Oryctolagus cuniculus: one gene and its partner. The protein of the gene in region 2 purifies or fractionates together with the protein of the main gene of each other region. This does not show direct contact. Links are inferred from orthologs where the notes say so. Each region holds a gene or a part of one and is shown on either strand. Other genes may lie near its edges. The genes, in order: FOXA1 and NKX2-1.

The links.
Region 1: the proteins of NKX2-1 (region 2) and FOXA1 purify together in Homo sapiens (affinity purification with western blotting; 3 studies listed by BioGRID and IntAct, with this or other methods). This does not show direct contact. The link is inferred for Oryctolagus cuniculus from reciprocal best matches to the Homo sapiens genes NKX2-1 and FOXA1.

What each region holds. Positions count from the first base shown.
Region 1 is NC_091443.1:37,967,941-37,978,054, reverse strand, and holds the start of FOXA1 (hepatocyte nuclear factor 3-alpha), read right to left. Parts: upstream 4,584-10,114; 5' UTR 4,394-4,583; coding exon 4,322-4,393; intron 1,983-4,321; coding exon 648-1,982; 3' UTR 1-647. UniProt on the Homo sapiens protein: Transcription factor that is involved in embryonic development, establishment of tissue-specific gene expression and regulation of gene expression in differentiated tissues.
Region 2 is NC_091443.1:39,102,258-39,112,371, reverse strand, and holds NKX2-1 (homeobox protein Nkx-2.1), read right to left. Parts: upstream 5,583-10,114; 5' UTR 5,415-5,582; coding exon 5,338-5,414; intron 4,792-5,337; exon of another isoform or gene 4,708-4,791; intron 4,607-4,707; coding exon 4,221-4,606; intron 3,259-4,220; coding exon 2,513-3,258; 3' UTR 1,629-2,512; downstream 1-1,628. UniProt on the Homo sapiens protein: Transcription factor that binds and activates the promoter of thyroid specific genes such as thyroglobulin, thyroperoxidase, and thyrotropin receptor. Crucial in the maintenance of the thyroid differentiation phenotype.

The DNA of each region.
Region 1 (10,114 bases), about 1.1 Mb from region 2:
AAACTGAAAAAACCCAATGGCTCTGGTGTTTGCAGTCTGTTTACGTCTTGCTGTGAAACAGCAGCGAAGTCTTTCCATACTTTTAAGAGCCCCTAGTGTCTGCCTGTTTCTTCACTTCCATTCTTAGGGTTTAAGAGTATTGCCACAGACCTGTAAACTTGTGTGTGTGCATGTGTGTGCACGCATGTGTGTGTGTAAGCACAAATATTTTACAAACTTGACCACTTTTTTTTTAAATAAACCCTGCCCAGACTAGAATATGTCTGAAGAGGAAAGAGGACAGAAAGGAAGGAAAAAGGAAGGAGAGTCACACACACACACACACACACACACACACACTCTTGTGGATCATCCAACGTCCCAGGAAAAAAACTTGTTGGTTTGGGGATTGGTTGGTTTTGTCATAATGTACACAATGAGTTTTGAATACAATAATAAAGTAACAGTCCTTTGCACTGGGGGAAAGATTGTGCACGAGAAAAGAAATAAAATAGCTGTCAGGAATTTATGCTGTTGTCAGTTTGGTGTGTGTGAGTTTTTGTTTTGTTTTATTGTTGGCTTTTTTTTTTTTTGCTTTGTTTTGTTTTGTTTTGTTTCCTCTCCTGCTACCAGCGCGACTGTGGCAGACAAACCCCCAGTCCCGGGAGCTAGGAAGTGTTTAGGACGGGTCTGGAATACACACCTTGGTAATAGGCTGGCTCCAAGGCTGAGGGCTCGATGGGACTCCTGGTGGCCACCGATGCGCTGCCCAGGGGCAGGCTGGCGGGCAGCGCGGCGCCGTAGGGCGAGTACTGCAGTGCCTGCTCGTAGGCCTTGAAGTCCAGCTTATGCTGCTGCTCCGAGGAGGACATGAGGTTATTGATGGAGAAAGGGTGGTTGAAGGAGTAGTGGGGGTCCCCCTTCAGGTGCAGCTGGGACTCGTGAGGGGCCAGGCCATGGGCCGGGTGGGAGGGGGGCACAGACGCCAGCGCCCCGGGCCCAGAGCTTATCGGGGGAGCAGACGAGGAGGCCGGAGCCTTCAACTCGGAGGCGCCCCCTGTCGCCGCAGCCCCGCTGTGGTCCAGAGTCTGGGGGCTGGCGGCGGGCCCGGGGGCCGGCGCGCCCTCTAGCTGGCCGGCCTTCCCGTGCACCCCCCGGTGCAGGGGCGAGTCGGCTCCGGGGTGAGCGGCGCCCGAAGGGTCCTTGCGGCTCTCGGGGCCGCCCTTGGCACCGCCGCCGCCTCCCCCGCCGCCAGCCCCCGGCTGCTTCTCACACTTGAAGCGCTTCTGGCGGCGCAAGTAGCAGCCGTTCTCGAACATGTTGCCGGAGTCTGGGTGCAGCGTCCAATAGGAGCCCTTGCCCGGCTTGTCGGGGGAGCGCGCCACCTTGACGAAGCAGTCGTTGAAGGACAGCGAGTGGCGGATGGAGTTCTGCCAGCGCTGCTGGTTCTGCCGGTAATAGGGGAAGAGGTCCATGATCCACTGGTAGATCTCGCTCAGCGTGAGCATCTTGCTGGGCGCCTGCTGGATGGCCATGGTGATGAGCGAGATGTAGGAGTAGGGCGGCTTGGCGTGCGGGTAGCTGCGCTTGAACGTCTTGGCATCGCCGCCTCCGCCCGCACGGCTGCGGCCCAGGTTGGACGGTGCGTACGCCATGGGGCTCATGCACGGGTTCATGGCGGCCGCGTAGGGGCCCAGACCGTTCATGGAGGCTGCGGGCTGTGCGCCCATGGCGCCCATGCCACCCGGGCTCAGCGCCGTCCCCATTGCCGTCACGCCCGCTGCCGTCATGCTGTTCATGGCGCCCGCCGAGCCCGCAGGCATGCCGGCCACCGCGCCAGGACTCAGGCCGGCCCCCAGGCCCGGGTTGGCGTAGGACATGTTGAAGGAGGCCGGGGTCATGTTGCCGCTGGTGGTCATGGTGTTCATGGTCATGTAGGTGTTCATGGAGTTCATGGAGCCCAGGCCCGAGTTCATGTTGCTGACCGGGACGGAGGAGTAGGCCTGGAGCGGAGACAGCGAGCCAAGAGGCCCCGAAGGGCGGGGTTAGAGGTGGGCGCTGGACGCGGGGGGGGGGGGGGGTCGTCTGGCCGGCCAGGGGAGGGGGCCAGCCCGGGAGAGCACGCCTGCCAAGCACGCAACGACCCCCTCCCCACCCCACATCCCCATGCACGCACACACACCCGGGGCCAACTGCTGGGCGCTCTCCCCAGACGGAGCCAAGATGTCCTGCACCGCAGGGGGACCATCCCAGCGCGGCAGGCATGAAAGGCGAGCGCACACAGAAAATATGTCCCTGGGAAGATGTGTAATCGCCTTACGCGCCAGGCCTGGGGAGCCTTCCCCGCCTCCTCCATCCAGCGCCAGGCGGTAGCCCAAGTCAATACCCCGGACCAGCCTCGGCAAAGCGCCCTTTGGGGGCAAAGCGTCTGTAGAACTCGGACAGCAGAATACTCTGCTTTTTCACTTGCCCCCTAGGGCGCCCTGCGTGCGCGGCGCGGGCCGCAGAAGCCAGCCCCTGCGCCCACCTCGCTCCGGCCTGGCCCTTACCGCCGCGCCGCAGGCTCGGGGGTGCCAGGCGGCTGTTAACGAAGTCCCTGCCGGAGCAGAGCCGGCAGCCGTCGGAGGCCCTGACCCACTAATTTCCCAGCAACTTGATGGCCTTGATGATCTTAGGAGGGTTTTTAAAAATTTTTTATTTTTTGACAAATGATGACTTTTTGAGAGTATAGCAGCAGAGTGCTCCGCCTTCTTGTAGCTACTGTAATATTAAAGAGGACGCAGACACAGAAGTCAGTTTTGGGAGATAAAAGTAACAACAGATCTTCAATAGAAGGGGGAAAGCGCTGCCTGACACAACTCTCCGCGTGCATTTTAACTTTGTCACAACTACCGGTTCGCACCTCTGCAGGCCGTTCAAAAACTTGCATGGGTTTTGCTAGGATTTCCAGTCCCGCAGGGTTTGACAATTTCGGAGGCACAATTTATTGAAATAATCACACACACCCCCACCCCTAAATATTGATCTATTGCCGCTGATCATTTTTAAAGCCCGGCGGTTGACACTACAGGAGTAGTTTCAAATATTTTTAAATCTGTAGATCAAATTCGACTTATTTTCTCCTCAGGCTATATTCTAGTTCCCAATTCTCAGTTTTAAAGGAACAGAAGGTTCTTTAGAGGTCGTAACTGTGGTGGGTCGAGATGTCTGCATCATCGTTAAACCTAAGAGTTCTGAGGGTTTCTAAAAACCATCAGCTGGTTAAAACCCATCCACAGCCATTTGGGAAAACGCAGAGCCCAGCGATGCTAAAAACTGTCTGATAATTTAACAAAGAGTAATGATTCCTCGCAAGGATTTTCATCAGCAACTGTGACTTAAAGAGAAATCCTAAGTGGTGAACAATTCGATTTAAGTAGCAACATCCCTTAAGGTAAGGCGTGCAAATGCACTCAGGTAAATCTGGGAGTCCAGAAACACACACAAACCAATTGCCTTGAGAATATTTCCTGATTTCGAGCTTTTTTTCTGTCCACGTCTTAAGATATTTTCTACTTTGGCGTTTATTTTCTTTTCGTCTTCTCAGGATTATCCAAGACAATTCCAGCAAGTCTTTTCAATGATGCTAATCAAACTTTGAGGGGGGGGGGGTATCGCCAGCTGTTCGTAGAAAAATACTTTTAGTAGGTGGCAGTCCTGCCTGTACCTGGTGGCTTCGCAGTCCTTTTGTGAGCACTGTAAAATAAACCCCACGAACGTGCCACCAAGGGGACAATGAAGAGAAACAGGTTCTTGGCCCCGAGTTCTGGAAAAAGATTCGGCTCGCACCAGCGCCACCCAGCGGTTCTGGAGACGAAGGAGCACGCTTCTCCCCGAACAGGGCTTTTGAAGAACAAGTTTTGTAAAATTGAGGAATCGTTTTCACTCTCTAGACGCCCAAACGAGCGGCAGGGCGTTCTCACCAGAAGATGCCCGATTGTTACACGGCGGGACGGCTCTGGGTTTCGAAGCTGCTTTCAGCCCGCGCCGGCGCCCGCCCGCCCGCCGTGGCCCCCCGGCCGGGCTCGGCTCCCGCTCTCCGCGGGCAAGCGCCAAGTACTTCCCGGAGCGCTGCTTTTCAAGCCTGGAGTTCCCTAAAACTCTTCTCGCCCGCTGCGAGCGCCCGGGTCCCGAGCGCCCGCGGGGCCGTCCCCCACCATCCGGCCGGCCGCAGAATGCACCCGGGGCACCGAGGCGACGCCCCCTGCCCGCCCGCCGCCGCCCGCCCTGCCCGGCGCCCACTTGGCCCCAGCCTCCCCCGACTGGGGCACTGGGAGCGCCGCGCCGCCCGCCCGCTTCTCACCTCCTGCGTGTCCGCGTAGTAGCTGTTCCAGTCGCTGCTCTCATGCCCTTCCATCTTCACAGCCCCTAACATCCTGGAGCCACCCTGCCCGATGCGACCATGCAGCCCTGTGCGAGGCGACGGGCGGCCGCGCGGCGCGGCGCGGCGCGGGGGAGGGGAGCCGAGCAGCTGCAGTCACCCGAGCGCCCGCGCGGGCCCAACGCCACCCCTGGGCGGAGGGAGCCCGGCGCTGCGGGGCGCGGCGTGCGCGGCGGCGGCGGCGGCGGCGGCGCGGCGGGCGGGGGCAGCGCCGGGGGCAGGCGGCTGCCGCGGAGCGCGGCGCCGGGGAGCGCCTCGGCGGGAACTGAGCGGGCGGCCTCTGCGAGGCGAGTGCAGTTGAACTGATGTGGATCTTACGTCGCCCGAGTGCCCACCTCCTCGTCCTCTCCCCATTTGTCCGCTGCACAAAGACGCTCGCACCTACAAAGCCCGAGGTGCACCTGCGAGGCGGCCGCCCGCCAGTCCGGCCGCCGCGCCTCCCGCCCCGCCGCGCCGCCGCCGCCGCCGCCGCCGCCGCCGAGCGGCGCCCCTCCCGCCGGGCCCCCTCCCCCCAAACCCGGCCCTCACTTTGTTTGCAAAGCAGTGTAATTGGTTTAAGCCCGGAGGCCGGGAAAAGAGGGGGAACGGGGTTGCGTTGGGGTGTAGCCCCCCCTTTGGGGGGAAAAACAGGAAAAAAAAGAAAGAAAAATAGGCGGGGCCGGGCAGGCAGGCGAGGACTCGGGATGGGAACCGCGTAGCCGGAGAAGGGCCGGAGCTTAGGGACTGTGCGGGCCGAATGACCCCTGGGCCCCTCCCCGGAGGCGCTCAGCACGCCCGAGACCTGGGCTGAGGCCCCGTACGGTCTTCTGCCTGTCCCTGTCCCCCCCACGCCCACCCCGCCCACCTTTCCTGATTCCTGACCCCAAAGTGCAGTCCCGGGAGACTGAAGGATGCAGACTTTTTATTTTTCCTTTCCCTCCTGGGCTAGGAAAGGGGAAGAGCCCCGATTTGGCCTCGTCGCTGACTCAGCCGAGCCGGTGACGTCGGGCCGGCCCGGGCTCCCGGCTAGCAGAGCGGAGGCGCTGCCACGAAACTCGTACCTGCGGCTAAGAGCAGGTGAGTCACAGCACCGTTTTATATCTTTATGACATAACTTTTTTTTTTTTTCCGCCTCGATCCACTCCACTCCCCTCGTCATCTGTTAGCGATCGTGAAGAGGAAGAAACTGAGAGCAGATGTCTGTGTGATAGGGCAGGCGGACCCACGTCGGGCCGTCCTCCCGCTGCCCGGCTCCTCCTCCCGCCCCCCTTCAGTAGCTCAGAGGACCGAGCCGGAGGCGACCGTCTGGTTTCTGATAGGGAAAGGTCAGGGGGAGGGGACGTCTCTCTCAACACGCGCCTCGGCTGGACTCGCAGGGGCCGGCGCTGGAACGCGTCTGCCCAGCTCGCCCAGCGCCAAGCCCGGGCCAGAGGCGGCTGGCAGCAGGGCGCTCTCGGCTCTGTGACCTGGAGGGGCCGACCTAGAACCCCAGGGCCTGAGCCGGCTCCTAGACATGGGTGGGAAAGTCTCCTTTTGGGTAGTGGAGTGCCCGCGTGTCCTGGGGAAGGAGACTGGGTGACAGGCGCTGAGCTGGTGGCAGGTGCTGTGTCTCCGCGTGTGTTTTTCTAAGTATGTGTGTGTGTGCGTGAGAGAGACCAAGCAGGTGTTGTACTGCCTGTACATCCATGGGTTCCATTAAGTGGCAATAAAATAAAAGTCTAAAGTGAGAGCCCGCAAACTATTCTTGTTTTGCCAAGTTTTAAAAATGCCATTAATCTCATTTTAAGAAATGTGTTTTTACTTGTCTTCCAAACAGATTGCTTATTCCCCCCACCCCGTGCTTTGTTCTTTTAAACCTTTCTTCCTTGAAATCTGGCAAGAGAATCGCGTTAAATCCTTGAACCAAACAAATCTCTTAAATCAGCAGGGGAGCAGAGAGGGTGAAGATGTGCAGTTAAGGAAATAAAAAAGATAAAAGCATTGGATTACAATTCCTTTAAAAAAAAAAAAAGTGCATGGGAGGGAGGACACGTCACATTGTCAGGAAAGGCATGAGTGAAATTAAATCCACCTGGAACTCGGCAGCGCAGGCTCCCTCCCCAGAGCCGGCTCCCGTCACTGCCAGGCGGTCCTATCACTTGGTGTAAATGTATCTGTGAATATGTCTCAGCAACTCCTTCTTTTGTTCAAAGTTCCCGTCAGCAGCAGGACCTCAGTTCCATTTGCAAAGTACACGGGTGTGGGGGACTTTCAGGGCTAATGAGCTTCCTTGTTCCTGCCCCCGGTGATTCTCCAACTTGGCGCTTCTGCAGTGTTGAGCACGACTGGCGGCTTTTCTAAGGGCAGTAACAGCTTGGCCGCAGCTGCTAGTTTCCAAACCTACTGGCCTCTCTTTTTTTCTTAAAGTCAAATATATATATATAGAAAGTCCTAGTCACTTATATAGAAAGTCGTGTATATGCGCATATATATATCCCAGTCGGTCGTAGAGCAATGGCCAAAGTGAGGTTTCTCCCAGGCTTCTTCAAAGGCCAAGACTGGGGGTGCACAATGGTCTGGACAAGTCAGCCCTACAGCCTTGGTCCAGGTCTCGGGTTCCCGGGTCGGCAGCCCCGGGAATCCGCGCGAACACAGCGCCTCCTGTCGCAGACTAGGAAGGCTGAGTGCCTGGCAGGTGCCCCCAGCCGGCACCGCCGGGGGAGAGGGGCTTGGAATCCCGCGCGCATCCTGCCAGAGGCCACCAAGGCGAGCTGGCATGTGGCATCTCAGGGGCAGCATCGCACAACACCCGACAACTTCAGGAGCTGAAGTCGTAGTGTGCCCAGGTGCAAGCCGGCCAGTCTCTTCGAGGTTGAGGGGTGAATCAGCGTGGCGGAGCCGCCCTTTGACTTGGAACACAGAGGTTCACGCAGCCATAAACTTAGGAGGCTACTGGCCAGCGGGCAGCCAGGTAACCTGCGTGGCCGCCTAAGCCAGCTCCTTCCTGACCTCTTTCCCCAAACAGGCCCTCACACCACTGCAGCATTGTGCTTTGCAAACGTGCGGGCAATAGGGTGCACGAGACCTTTTTTCAGCTCTGGGCCGCCTGGGTGGCCCCGGCGCAGGGGACGAACGAGAGCAGCCACGTGGCGGCTCCCAGGGCGTCCCGTGCCACATCGCCTGGGTGCCTATGGGGCTGGGGCAGCCTGCGTCCGCCCAGACAGCGCTGAGGGCGGGCTCCTGTAGTGCAGGAAGCCCCGGCGGTGAGGACCGCGCGCGGGGCGCGGGAACTCGGGGCTGCCGAGGGCAGAGGAAGCGGCTCCGCCCTTCCCGGAAGCGGCGACTGCAACTCCCCTGGGGCCTGCTCCGGTGCAGTCGGCCCCGCACGAGGGGCGGCACGAGGTCCCCTGACCCAGCTCGGCTGCTGCAGCTTAGCCTTCCCAGCGTGAGGCCCCGGGGCAGCCCCTGGCGGCCGCACACCCTCAGCTGGAGCGCGCAAAGCAGAGGGTGCGGACGGCGAAAGGAGCAGGGAGAGGCCTGTCGTTCCGAGGGGTGCAGGGTGGGCAGAAGGCAGGGTCTGCGCCCCTCCCCCCGTCGGGGCTGTGGTCAGGTCACGGCCGCCGCAGGTCCAGCCACTCTCTGTGCGGGGTGGTCCGAGCCCCTCCGCGGGCCTCCACCCCCCACCCAGATAAGAAGCTTATGTCCTCCTCCCGCCGAGGAGAATCAGACGCAAGGAAACTAAGACCTGTGGTCTTTAACCCAGTTCAAAGCCGACCCCGACTGGGACCTGGCTCGGCTTTGGAGCGGGGAAGGCCTGGGATGTTGGAAGCGACTAGCGTACGTTGTAAAGCAGAGGTGTGCGCTGGGTTGGGGACGGGGCCCGGGCAGCGGGCGAGGGCGGCCTCCGGAGTCTGCCTCCTGCATCCCACCCTCACCCGCACGAGGCGCCTTGGCCCGTGTCCGCGGGGCCATCACCGCCCGGACCTGTGGCGCGCAGCGGGCAGCACTGGGCCCACTCCCAGCCTCCTGTTCCTTCGCTGCCTCTCTTTCCTTTCCTCGCTCACACTGCCTTTCCTTCCTCCCCTCCCATCGTTAAGTCATTAAGGAATTCACAACACACGAGGCGTCCGACTCCCAGTGGGTAAGGGCCCTGGGACCACAGACGGGCCTTGGCTGGCTGTGTTTGCTTGGAGTCCGCTTCTACTGCGGCGTCCTGCGTGTGCGTGCGTGCGTGTGTGTGTGTGTGTCTGAGTGTAGGAGTGGGTGACCAACACTTAACACTTATCCACCACTTCGCCTGTTCTGTTGAAAGAAAAACAGCCACTGGGTTTGTCCCTTCCCTGACTGCTCCCAGAGCCTCCACCGGGTTTCTGCACGGGCCGGTGCGCTGGCCAGGCTCGCCCGCAGCCGGATGCCGGAGCCGGAGCTGCTCCCCACCCCGCCTCGCCCGAGGGAGACAAAACCGTCTGGCCGCGAGCGAGCATCGTCTTGCCAAAAACGACTCACATTTTCATGTATTCAAATGAGAAAGGTTGAGAAGGGCGACTTGACCTCCTGGGCAATCCTCTGCACTGGGAGGAAAAAGTGTCCCACCAGTCCGCGCGTAGAACAGGAACCTGCCTTTCTCGGGGGCTTTGGCGCGGGGCACGGCCGGCTAGTCCAGGCCCGGGTCCCCGCGGCTGTCGCGCCTCTCGCGGCTTCTGTGCCCCCGAGTTACCCCGACTGCCTCATTTACATCCGTCAGTTCCCGCTGGGGGAAGTGCTTAGGTCCAGCCAGTCCCTTCCTGCTTAGCTGCTGGGGGTCAGGGTCTTCGCCGCGTGGTGCCCACACTACCTGTGCCTTTCTGCGTGTGTTTTAAAAAACACCAGTGTTAGGGGACTGGGGAGGAATTGGAAACCCATGCTTCACCATGAAGGTGGGGCATTAGAGAGAAGTGACGCCTCTTCAGTCTGAGTTAGTGCAGAAAGAACCAGAGCAGCTGAGGTCCTACTGTGTGTCAGGGACTGGGCCCAGGGCCTTTGATATCCCAGCGCTTTTCCACCTGCTGCTCCAGTGTGCGGGAGCTGGGAGGTCGGAAGGTTGGGTGCAGGTGGGTGAGTACCTCGGTTCCTCCCCAGGGGCAGAAGCTCGCACTAATGGGCAACGGACGATGGAAAAGTCAACGAATTTCATCTCTTGCCTCGAGGCCTGCAGCTTAGTACTAAATCCTTCCTGATGGGTGGACTATGTTTAGTTTCTGCAACCCCAACCACCACACTTTCCAATCCACATTCTTCCCTCCCCCAACACACACCCCCAGGAGCTTTCCCACAGCCCCTCAGTTCTCCTTCGTGGTTTAACTTTGCCTATACAAATAGGATACCCTTGGATTTACATAGTTCTATTTAACAAATGCTTTGTAACAGTCATATTAATGGTAGCTTACACTTGGGGGAAAAAAAAGCTGTAAAATTGCATTCTAGTCAGTATTTTTTTTTTATTGTATTGGTTTCCCTAGTGTCCTCCTAATTTCAAAATCATGCTGTGGCCTCACAAAAAAGACTAATTTATTGACGTGACTAGAGGGAGGTCACATCTCCTATTTAAAATGAAAATTCGATTGGAGGGCTCTGTCTCTTCTGAAACTCCCAGCAGCTCCTCCAGCACTAACAGGAGAGGAAGTTTTTGTTTTAAAAGTGCTGCATTTGTTTGAAGCTCTATTTTCCTTCTCCTACTGACCGCAGAGCAAAACTACGGCTTAGCTTATCTTGCTGCGA
Region 2 (10,114 bases):
AGCCCCTGGAGGCGCGGGTGGGGGACGGCCACAGGGACCTCAGCTGGGCACTGCCCGCCTTGCCCCTGCCCGGACTTGTGCCGGGCAGTGGGCGGCTTGAGCAGAGCGCCCATCGCCCACCGCGTGGAAACCGGACCTCAGAGGCAAACAGCAGCTGCAGCACCCACCTCCCCTGTCCAGCCCTGGCCTGAGCTGTGCGCCTTGGCCACTCACACTCCCGGTCCATGCCAGCGCAAGTGTCCAAACGTTCCGGTTTCTTGTTTCCCAAAATTTGATGCCTGTTCGGGGTTATTTGAGATCCCCCCCCCCCCAACTAGCAATCTCACTAGTGCCAACCAGGCAGTGCCTCCTGCTACCTCCTTTCTGCAGGTTAGAAACCCCACCTCCCCACCCAGGTCTGGTCTCTGAGAGGCAAAGCCCACCCTCCCTGGCCCGCAATCCTGAGCCCCACCACCACCACCACCACCAAGTCATCAGAGAGAACTGTTGGGTGCAAGCCATCTGTTTTCCTTACAAACTTCCAGGGTTGGGAGAGAGATGGAGACTGGAATGAACTAAAAAGAGACAAAGTTGGGGGCGGGGGAGAAGAAGGGAAAAGTTGAAAATCTAGGCAAGAAGTGCGTCGTGCATGCCTGACATGAACTAGTCCCCCACAATCAAGCAGGTGGCAGGTCTTGAGGAAAGGGCTGGAAGACGCATCTGCCACTGCCCTTCCTAGGTGGGTTCCTCAGGGATGACAGAGGGGGCAGCAGCCCATCCACAGACGAAGTGTTTTCTCTGGCCACAGTCATCTCTGACACCCATGCCTCTATCACATCCCTAGTGGTCCTACACACATCCATCTGAGTGCGAACAGACAAGGCAATTAGATTGGAAGAAAGGAGTCAAAATGATCTTTTGGCTGGGGTTGGGGGGACAAGAAGGTGAGAGTTGGAAAAAGGGCAGCTTCATTGCTGGGAAGATTTCGGAGCCCAGAGATGGACACCCACGCAACTGAGTGAAACCTCAGTTCTCCAAGTCCTGCACTGGTGTCCTCCTGCTGGTTACCTGGTCCCTTGCTTGCCGGGGGCCAGAGCAGCCACTAGAAGCAAGGCTGGGGGTGGGGTGGGGTGTGTGGCTACTGCTGACCCCTGAGCTGGGATCCCTGCTTTCAAGCAGAAATAAAACCCTGGATCCCCCGTCACCACTTTCAAAAGAAGCCTCCCACCGAATTCGGCCTCTGGAGGGGCTCTGTCGTAGACTGGAAAGAAAGGCTTGATGTTCCAATCTGCAAGGGCAGTGCCTTTCCTAAGAATGAAGGTTCATCCTGAGTTACTGAAAGCGGGTGTCAGGGCTGGCTGAAGATCAGAGGGGACAGTTCCGAGGTCTCTAAGCATCGGAAGCCAGGTTCTGAAAACAAGCCCTCTGGTCTCTCTTCCCCGCTCATCTCCCTCCTGGTGGAAGCAGTTGGGAGTCCCAGGACTGCTCAAGATTAGATTACACTCAATTCCGAGGCAGAACAAAACTCCCTCTTCTCACGGGCCACAGGGCTGTGCGTCCGGCCTCCACAGCAGGTTCAGGCTAACGATGTGCCCTTCCCAGCCCCACAACAGCCATTGAAAGCCAAATCAAAACCAAACAAAAAGGAGGATTTTTAATCAGAAAAAGAATCTTTTTAATTTGTATAATTTATTAGAAGCTTCTTAGGAACTATATTTTAAGCCAAATATCTACATAAGTTACAACAGAAAAAGACCGACGCCGCAAATACCAAACTGCCAAATAATATCCACAGATTTGTCAATGTCCATAAAAAATGGGAGGGGCTGGGGACCCGGACTGGGTTTCTTTCTTTCTTTCTTTTTACAACAAAATGTACAGATTACTAAAAACTAGGCATTTAGTCCAACTTTTGACAGCATTTTACAGCTACAAGTTCACATCAAACATAAAACAGTTTTCGCTTGCAGAGGCGGTCCTGGCTGAACCTAGACCAGCCAGGGCGTTGGGGGAGGTGGCACTTCCTTTGTGTCTTTGACAAGTGGGTTATGTCCAAGAGTCTTTCCTCTCCCCACTCCCGTCCTCCCTTCGGAAAAAGAATCCTGGTATTTACAAGCGAGTCCACATGGCTGGCAGAGTGTACCCAGAGTGAAGTTTTCCTTCCTTATAGAGTCCAGGGCCATGTCAACCTAGAGTCCTCTCCAATCTGCATCCCTCCCCAGCGTGGGAAACCCATTGGCATCACCGTAAAGACCCCAACCCACCCCAAGCTGTTCAGACTCCTTAAGGAATTGGATTTGCTTGGTTGTTTTTATTTTCTTTAAAAAAAAAAAAAACTCACAAATTAAAAAAAAAAAAAACAGACGTCCAGCAGTTTGGCCTTTGTGGTCTCCTCCCCCGCTCCTTGGTCTAAACGGGGATAGGTTCTTAAGAAAAGTCGAAGCGCGTGGAGCAGCGAGAGAACGGTGGTCCGTGTGGCGGGCGAGGGAAGCGGTGAGGCGGCGCGCTGGGCTGGGGCCGGCCCGGCGAACTTTCACCAGGTCCGACCGTATAGCAAGGTGGAGCAGGACATGGTGCTGTAGTCCGAACCCGAGGAGTTCAGGTGGGAAAGGCTGGAGACCTGGCCCTGCAGTGCCGCGGGACTGGCGGCGTGGTGCGCCAGGTCCGGAGACTGGCCCGCGCTGCCGGGCTGGTGGCCCGGGTGTGCGCCCAAGCCGGCGCCCCCGCTGCCCACCGAAATCGCCGCGGCTGCCGCTTGCGCGGCCTGCGCCTGCTGCTGCGCCTGCTGCTGCGCGTGGCCTTGGAGGCTGGCGGCGCCCGGCGCGGGGGCGCCTGCCTGGCACGGTTTGCCGTCTTTCACCAGGACCGGCACTGCCACACGGCGCGGCGACTGTTGCTGAGCCTGCTGCTGCTGCTGGGGACACGCGGCGCCGCCTCCGCCGCCGCCGCCGCCGCTGTCCTGCTGTAGTTGCTGCTGCGCCGCCTTGTCCTTGGCCTGGCGCTTCATCTTGTAGCGGTGATTCTGGAACCAGATCTTGACCTGCGTGGGCGTCAGGTGGATCATGCTGGCAAGGTGCTCGCGCTCCGGCGCCGACAGGTACTTCTGCTGCTTGAAGCGTCGCTCCAGCTCGTACACCTGTGCCTGGGAGAAGAGCACCCGGCGCTTCCGGCGCGGCGCGCTTGGCAGCGGGGCCATGTTCTTGCTCACGTCCCCCAGCGAGCCCAGGCCTCCCATGCCGCTCATGTTCATGCCGCTCGCCGGGCCCATGAAGCGGGAGACTGTAAGCGACAAACGCACAGCGTCGGCCGGGGCCGGGGCCGGGGCCGGGGCCCGGGCCGGGCCGGGCCAGGCCACCACCGCCTTCAGCGCGCCTTGGCTTGCCCGGCCCGCCCCCGACGGCTTTCTCTTCATCCAGGCCGCCCGGCGCCCGGCCCAAGAGGCCCATCCACGGGGACTCGTAGGCACCTGCCCAGGGCCGAGCCGTCGAAGAGCTTCCTGGCGAGCTCCTGGCTACCCTCTCAGTCTGAGTACGCTCTTTGGACCCAAAAAAGGTGCAGCGAGGGGAGAGGCCGCTCCTGCTTCCCTCGCGCCCAGTGCCAGTCCGAGGCACCGGACAGGGTTCGCCGGCCGCAGGCGGTGACCTGAGCTCCGGTCGGGAGCTGGGGTCTGACCATAGACTTTGGGCGGTTAGAAGAGGGGTATTCACTTCGTAAAGCTCGAGTTCCCAGACGCTTTGCCTCTTGGCTTTCTCTAGGAGGCCCCAAAGAGTGCACTTGCTCGGCCCATTTAGGGCCCCCTCCGGAGCCGGTCACCCTCCCACCTGCCCAGACCCCGACGGGCCGGGCTCCTGAGTGCGTCCCAGCGGGACGGCCTCCCTTCCCAGCCAGGCCTAGCCCCTCGGCGCTCTGCTCGCTCCCGCTCTCTCGGCTTGGAGGTCGCCTCCCTGGGCTCTCCCAGGGCTTCCGCGAGGGGCAGAGCTAAGCCGGTTGGCCAAGAACCGGAGATGCCCGGGTGCCAGCACCTGTCCCCCCGAACCCCAGCGCTAACCAAGTGCCCTCTACCTGGACCCCAAGCCTAACAAGGGGAGGACCCCCACTCCCCCCCACCCCACCCCCAGCTCCCGCACCCAACTCCCTGGCGCCGCTGCCCGGCCGCACGCCCTGCTGGCCAGCGCCTAGCCGGCCGGTGCGGCGCCTCCTGTGCTTAGCCCGCGGCCCCGCACTGGGGCGGCCTCACTTACTGGCGGGGAAGCGCGGGTCTGGGTTGGCGCCGTACCATCCGGGGCCGGAGGCGCTGTTCCGCATGGTGTCCTGGTACGGCGGCAGCTCGCTCATGTTGCCCAGGTTGCCGTTGCAGTAGCCCCCCACGGCGGAATGCGAGAGCTGGGGCACCCCCGCCGCCGTCATGTGGTAGGCGGCGGTGACGGCGCCGTGGTGCCCCACGGCGTGCTGCTGCATGGCCGCGGCCGGCGGTGCCGCCTGGCCTTGCCTGTACGCCGCCAGCGGAGCCCCGAGGCCGCCGCCCTCCATGCCCACTTTCTTGTAGCTTTCCTCCAGGGGACTCAAGATGTCAGACACTGAGAACGGAGTCGTGTGCTTTGGACTCATCGACATGATTCGGCGGCGGCTGGAGGAGGAAGGAAGAGGAGGAAAAAAAAGGGAGAGGGGGAAGGCGAAGCCTCGCTACTTTTTTTTTTTTCCTCCCTTTGCCAAATATTCTGGTGTTACCTTAACGCCGATCTTGTTGGATGTACACGTAACGGAGTGGCCCGAGTCCGCCTTAATTGGCTTGAGTGGAGGCTCGGGGGCTGCCTCGCGTTTGTTTTAGCCCGGCGCCAGGTTTTAGGCAGCCACCAGAGGCGGGGCGTAAGCGCTAAAGCGACAAGACAATAGAAGCCTACATCTTGCCCGAGATAATTAGCTTACATGCTGATGACAAGGTAAACACCTTTAAGTTTCACTTGTCAGGATTTTTAGGTCTCAGGGAGAGAGAGGGGAGACAGAGAGAGAGAGAGAGAGAGGAGAGAGGAGAGAGAGGCTGAGACGAGACCCAAAGCGTTGCCTTCCCCCTCCCCTGGACACCCCCACCCCCATATTTTGTGGGGTGCCGGCGCCGCGCGGGGAGGAGGGGGTGGGGAAGGAGGAGGGAGCCGAGAGCAGGGAGGGCAGGGGGTGGGGTGGGGTGGGGTGGGGAGTAGTCGAGGAGGAGGGACGGCGGGGAGGAAGGAAGGTGACTGCTGCTTTGCAACCAACTCGCGGAGTTACAAAGTGGAACCGCTTTACGATTCGGTCGGGGTTCCCCGGGCGGGGACGGATCTCGGGGAGGAGGGGGCCGAGGGACGGGGTGCGGGGTTTCACCTGAGCCTGCCGGGGCTGCTCCTCCCTCCCGCCGCGGCCTCCCAGCCCCGCGCCTTCCCACTGCCTCGGGACCACATCGGGCTTCGCTGCGCCGAGCCCCGGTCGCCACCGAATGAGCGAGCGAGTCTGGGGACGAACCCTGGGGCCGCACTGTTGGTCTACGTGTCTGTCAGTCTGTCTGCCTCCTCTGCCGCCGTCAGAGGGACACCTCTGCTCCCCGCCCCCTTCCCCCCTACCCCCCTTGCCCGAGAGAATCGCGCCGGGCGGAGGGGGCGCTGAGTAGGGGATCGACTGCCTCCGGGAGGCTGTCCGGATCCCCGCGCCACCCCACCCCCAGCCCGGGGTCTTCTCGGCGGGCCAGCCCTCCCCGCCTCCCCCCACCAGGACCCCCTCCCCACCGCACCCCACACCCACCCCCCGCCGAGCAGGCGCGACGCTGGCCTCCGGCGCGGGGCCCACTGGGGTCCCTCACTGGGGTTGCCCCACCGCAAACAAACCTGGCGTCCCTGGCCCTTGCCCATAGCCCTGACACGCGGGGTTCTGGGGCCGGAGTAGGCTTGCCCAGGCCATCGCAGCCCCGGCACCACCGGAGCCCACGGCCACGCTGTTTCCCCCTCCTCTGCTTCTGGGAGGGCTCGGGCCGGGGATGGCGAGAGAGCCCGCCCGTCTATAGCTGGGGTGTAGCAGAGCCTGCCCCAAGGCGGGACCCGCGGGGCCGGGAGGGGGCCGGTACCCAGGCGCAGGCAGCCCCGCGGGCTGCAGGCTGGGCTGAGGCTCGCCTCCGCCCGGAGCTCAGCCATGCAAAAGTGCACTTGCTTCCCCGGGAATAACCAAATATCTTTGTTTAAAGTGGCGGCGTAAATGGCCAGTCGCTTTGTGACCACGCTGGATATTAGTAGATGAGGATCATTCTGCTTCAATTGGGCGCCTCTCATCCAGCGAGCAAGAAACTGCTTAGGAGGAAGTGGGTTTCCTGTCTGCGCGTTCCCAGGCTTCAAGTGTGAGCCCCGCGCCTTGAGGGTCCTTGGGCGCCTGGCGAGGGGGAGCTGTGGGCTGCACTCCCCGGCGGGCCCGTGGGCGGCAGCTGGGTTATTCCGGCCAGGCCGGAGCCTACAGCCGAGTGGACTACCGGACGGAGCCCTGCGTGCTGCAGATTGTGAGACCCATGCCGACTTGTCCCCCTTGGATTGCAACCGTTTTTGTTGTTTGTTTTTGTTTTGCTTTCCTTTGGCTGTCGGAGCCTCCTCCCCGCGCCGGGGGCTGAGGGGCGGAGCGCTCCTCGGCCCAGCAGGTGCCTCCAAGACCCTTCCGCGGTCGGTCAAGCAGGCTTCTCGAATTCGGTTTTTTTGTTTTGTTTTCACGGTTCTCCGCCAACCCCACCCCCACCTCCAACACACACACACTTTCCTGAACCGCTGATGAAGAACAGGCAGTTTTGAACCTTTTAATTCAGCAGGTCAGGCTCTTTTTTAAATTATTATTATTAAAAGCATTTACAGTAGGGAAAGTTTGCTTATCAGAGTGCTCTGTCCTTCCTCAATACGAAGCTAACTTCTATGTTAACATTCTCTTTCCTCACCTGCCACCTCCCTTAGGGGGAGACACAGAAAGTTCGGGAGTCCCTGGGTCGCCTGGGCCTGCACTGCCTGGAGGTCCCAGCGGCGGTGGCCTTGGAGCGGGAGACAGTGCACCTTGCGCGTGGGGACGCGCTTGTTGCTGCTGCTGCTGCTCCTTCGAAAACCAGGAGCGAAGCTTGGCTCCTGCCCTCCCCCCTTCCAGGGGCTTCCCTGGAGGGGGGGCGCCTTTAGGAAGGACTCAGACCCTATCCACCGCGCTTCGGTCTCTGTGGTGTCTTTTATAAGCCCTGGAAACAAGGAGGGGAGGAGACGCCAGCGGACGACAGAGAGCAGGCAAAACTGAGTTGCAGACCCGATCTGCAGGGGAGCCCTGGGCGGGTCTGTGGCCCCCGGAGGGGTCTTACTGCGAAGGCAGATTGGGTTTCCAAGCCTCTCTCTTTCCATTATTTCATGCTTGTTGGTAAATGTAAGACGCACCGACTGTGGGACGTCGTACATCTCTCCTAGTCTCAAGGCCGTTAGGAATGGAAAATCTTCTCAAGGAGTGTGTGTGTGTGTGTGTGTGTGTGTGTGTGTGTGAAAGAGATCAGGCACATCAAAGATGTGAAATCCGTTCAGGTAGCTGTCGTGACGTTTCCCCTCCCCCACTTTAGGGTTCAGGACTGGAGGGAAGGGCAGAGGTGGATGAACCCTCCACGGCCTCCCCGGAGTCGTGCCGCCTCGGGCGGGCTTTCGTTCCGCAGCAGGCTCTGAGCGCACGTGGCTAGCAGCTCGGACATTCCCGGGAGTGCGTGAACAACCCAGGCCGCAGCTTTCGACGAGACCGCAGGCCGGCACTTGGCACCACGGAGCAGGCGGCGAGTGGGGGCGCTGAGCGGGCGCCCGCGCTCCACGCGGGTGGGGCCCTACCTGCCACCGCTTCGACCTCTTGGCGCAACAGGGTCTGTGCTTGAGTCCCCGCGGGCAGGCGCGCACCAGCAACGGCTCTCTCTTGTCTGGACCTCGCCTGGGCCTTTGCGGCTCCCTGCGGCCCAGGCCCCGCGCCAGCCCCACCACTGTCCCTTCGAGTGCAGCCACCGCTCCGCGTTCTTCCCAGGCGCGCTGCCTTGCTAAGAATAAGCCCAACGCGAAGGCGCCTGGAGGCCACAAGGCACACGTGTGTATCTCCTGGTGTGTCCAAGCCACGGCCTCGGGGGCCTCACCTGTGGCCCCGACACCTGCCTCTGACCCAAGAGAGATTTTTCCTTCGGCTGCCTCGGTTCTCATCTTAAATAGGGCAGACTCCGCTTAAGCCAGGGCTTTATGCGTGGCTCAGTCCACGGGGAGCCCTGTCTTCCGCATCCCTCGGCTAACTGGCTCCAGGGTGGGGTGGGCACTGTGCGGAGCCAGCGGGCGGGACACAGCGCTGGCCCGCTGTGGAGCTGTCCCTGGTGCGGTCGCACACGGCCTCGGCCATCCCAACCACTGAGTTTCGCTGGCTGCGGCTCCGGGCCAGGACGCGCCCTGGGGGCGCCGAACTGTCATCAGCCTCCGCTCATACCCGCAGAAGAAGGGCAATGCTTCTCCTCCTGCCCTTCGCCCTGGGTCACTTGGGGAGAACAGAGGTCGCACACAGACGGCTGATTCGGGGTCTGTGATTCGACCGCGTGGCACGTGGGCGCAACACCTGTCCCGCTGTCCCTCGTGTCCCCGGCCTGCTTTTCCTGACGTCCTGCGTGGCCCCTCACACCTCCGCGGGCACTGACTCGGCTCCAGGCTTTACTGGAATTCTAGTTTCTTTGGGCAAATACTGATTGAGCAACGGCTCCGTGCCAGGCAAGGTGCTTGGCGGGCAGATCCAGCTATAGACCGTCTAGATGTGGCTCCACGCACACAGGACTCTCAAATGAATCACAAAAAGCACCCAGGTATGACGTCGTTACTGTATGACAGGTGTTACTGCGGAATTTCAACGAGATGGGTCGTAAAGAATGTCGGCACCATTTCCCGGTGCTCCCACGCTCCGGGGTTGTGGGAAGTACACATGAAGTCAGGGTGCGAGGCCTGGCTTTGCGGGTTTTCTGGTTGTGCAGCTTTGCTTTCCTGGCTCTCGCCACACCCTGCAACAAAACTAATGTGTTCAGGCTTCCCTCTTTGAGGGCGAGATTCCCCTTGATCTATCCCTGCGTGCCTGGAGAAATCTTAAGGAAGTCTCTTAGCACCTGTGCCTGGGGCTGCAGCAATGGTTGGAACCTACCCTGTGTACGTACCCTCCCGGATTTGTTGAGCTGGGGATTCGGGTAACGCAGGAGGAAACCTGATGTCCGAGTTTGTAAACTATGTCTGGCAAAGAGGAGTTCTTTACGCTCTGCTTTTTGGGGGTTATAGAAGCGGGGTGGGAGGGGGAGGCAGGGCAGGAATGGCCTTGGCAAGAGTCCCAGGGCGGAGGAGGAGTTGGAGGGAAAAGCTGCCCAGAGATGCAGGGCCCCAGTGTACCTAGTCTCAGCGGTCTCCTTGCTCAAATATTCTCTAGAGGCTGTGTCCACACTCCCGCCGTCAGGTGCAGGCTCCCGGGCTGGGCTAGCAGGCCTGCGAGCGCCCTCGAGGCCACCTACCCCGGGGCAGAAGGCAGGGACGCAGCCGGGCGTTGGGGGGCGCTGCTCCCCAACTCTGAGATCCAGCGGCTGCCGCCTCTCCTTGATGGGGTCTCACGGGGCCCTCTCCGGGCTGCTTTCCCAGGCGCCAGAACCGGAAGCTCCCAGGGAGTACCCGCGAGGTGTGCAGCCGCGCGGCGTTCGCAGGCGCCCTCTCTCCTCAGTGGGATCCTTGATGGTCCTTTTGGGGGATGCCTTTTTCCCAAGGCGTGGCCTCCGGGCAGTGGGGATGGGGTACGCGAAGCGGCCCCGGGACTTGGAGGCATGGTTCCTGCGCCTTCCTGTCGAGCGCTGGCGTGCTCTGGGGTCGGGATGGCGGTCAGGGGGCGTCCACGAAGGCCAGGCCCTCGGGGAGGACCACATCTGCCATCTCGAAACCTACCTATTTCCATGCCACGCAGCTCAAGCCCTCGAGTTGTATTTAGGGACCACACCCGCGCCACCAGCTCCAGGTGCGCCCCCTGGTGGGGAGAGACCTGAGGGGTAGGAGCTAAGGTGGAGAGCCATTCACAAAGCAGAGAGGAGAGGGATCGGCAGGAGGTGGCCAACGCGGACGGGAGGCCTCCC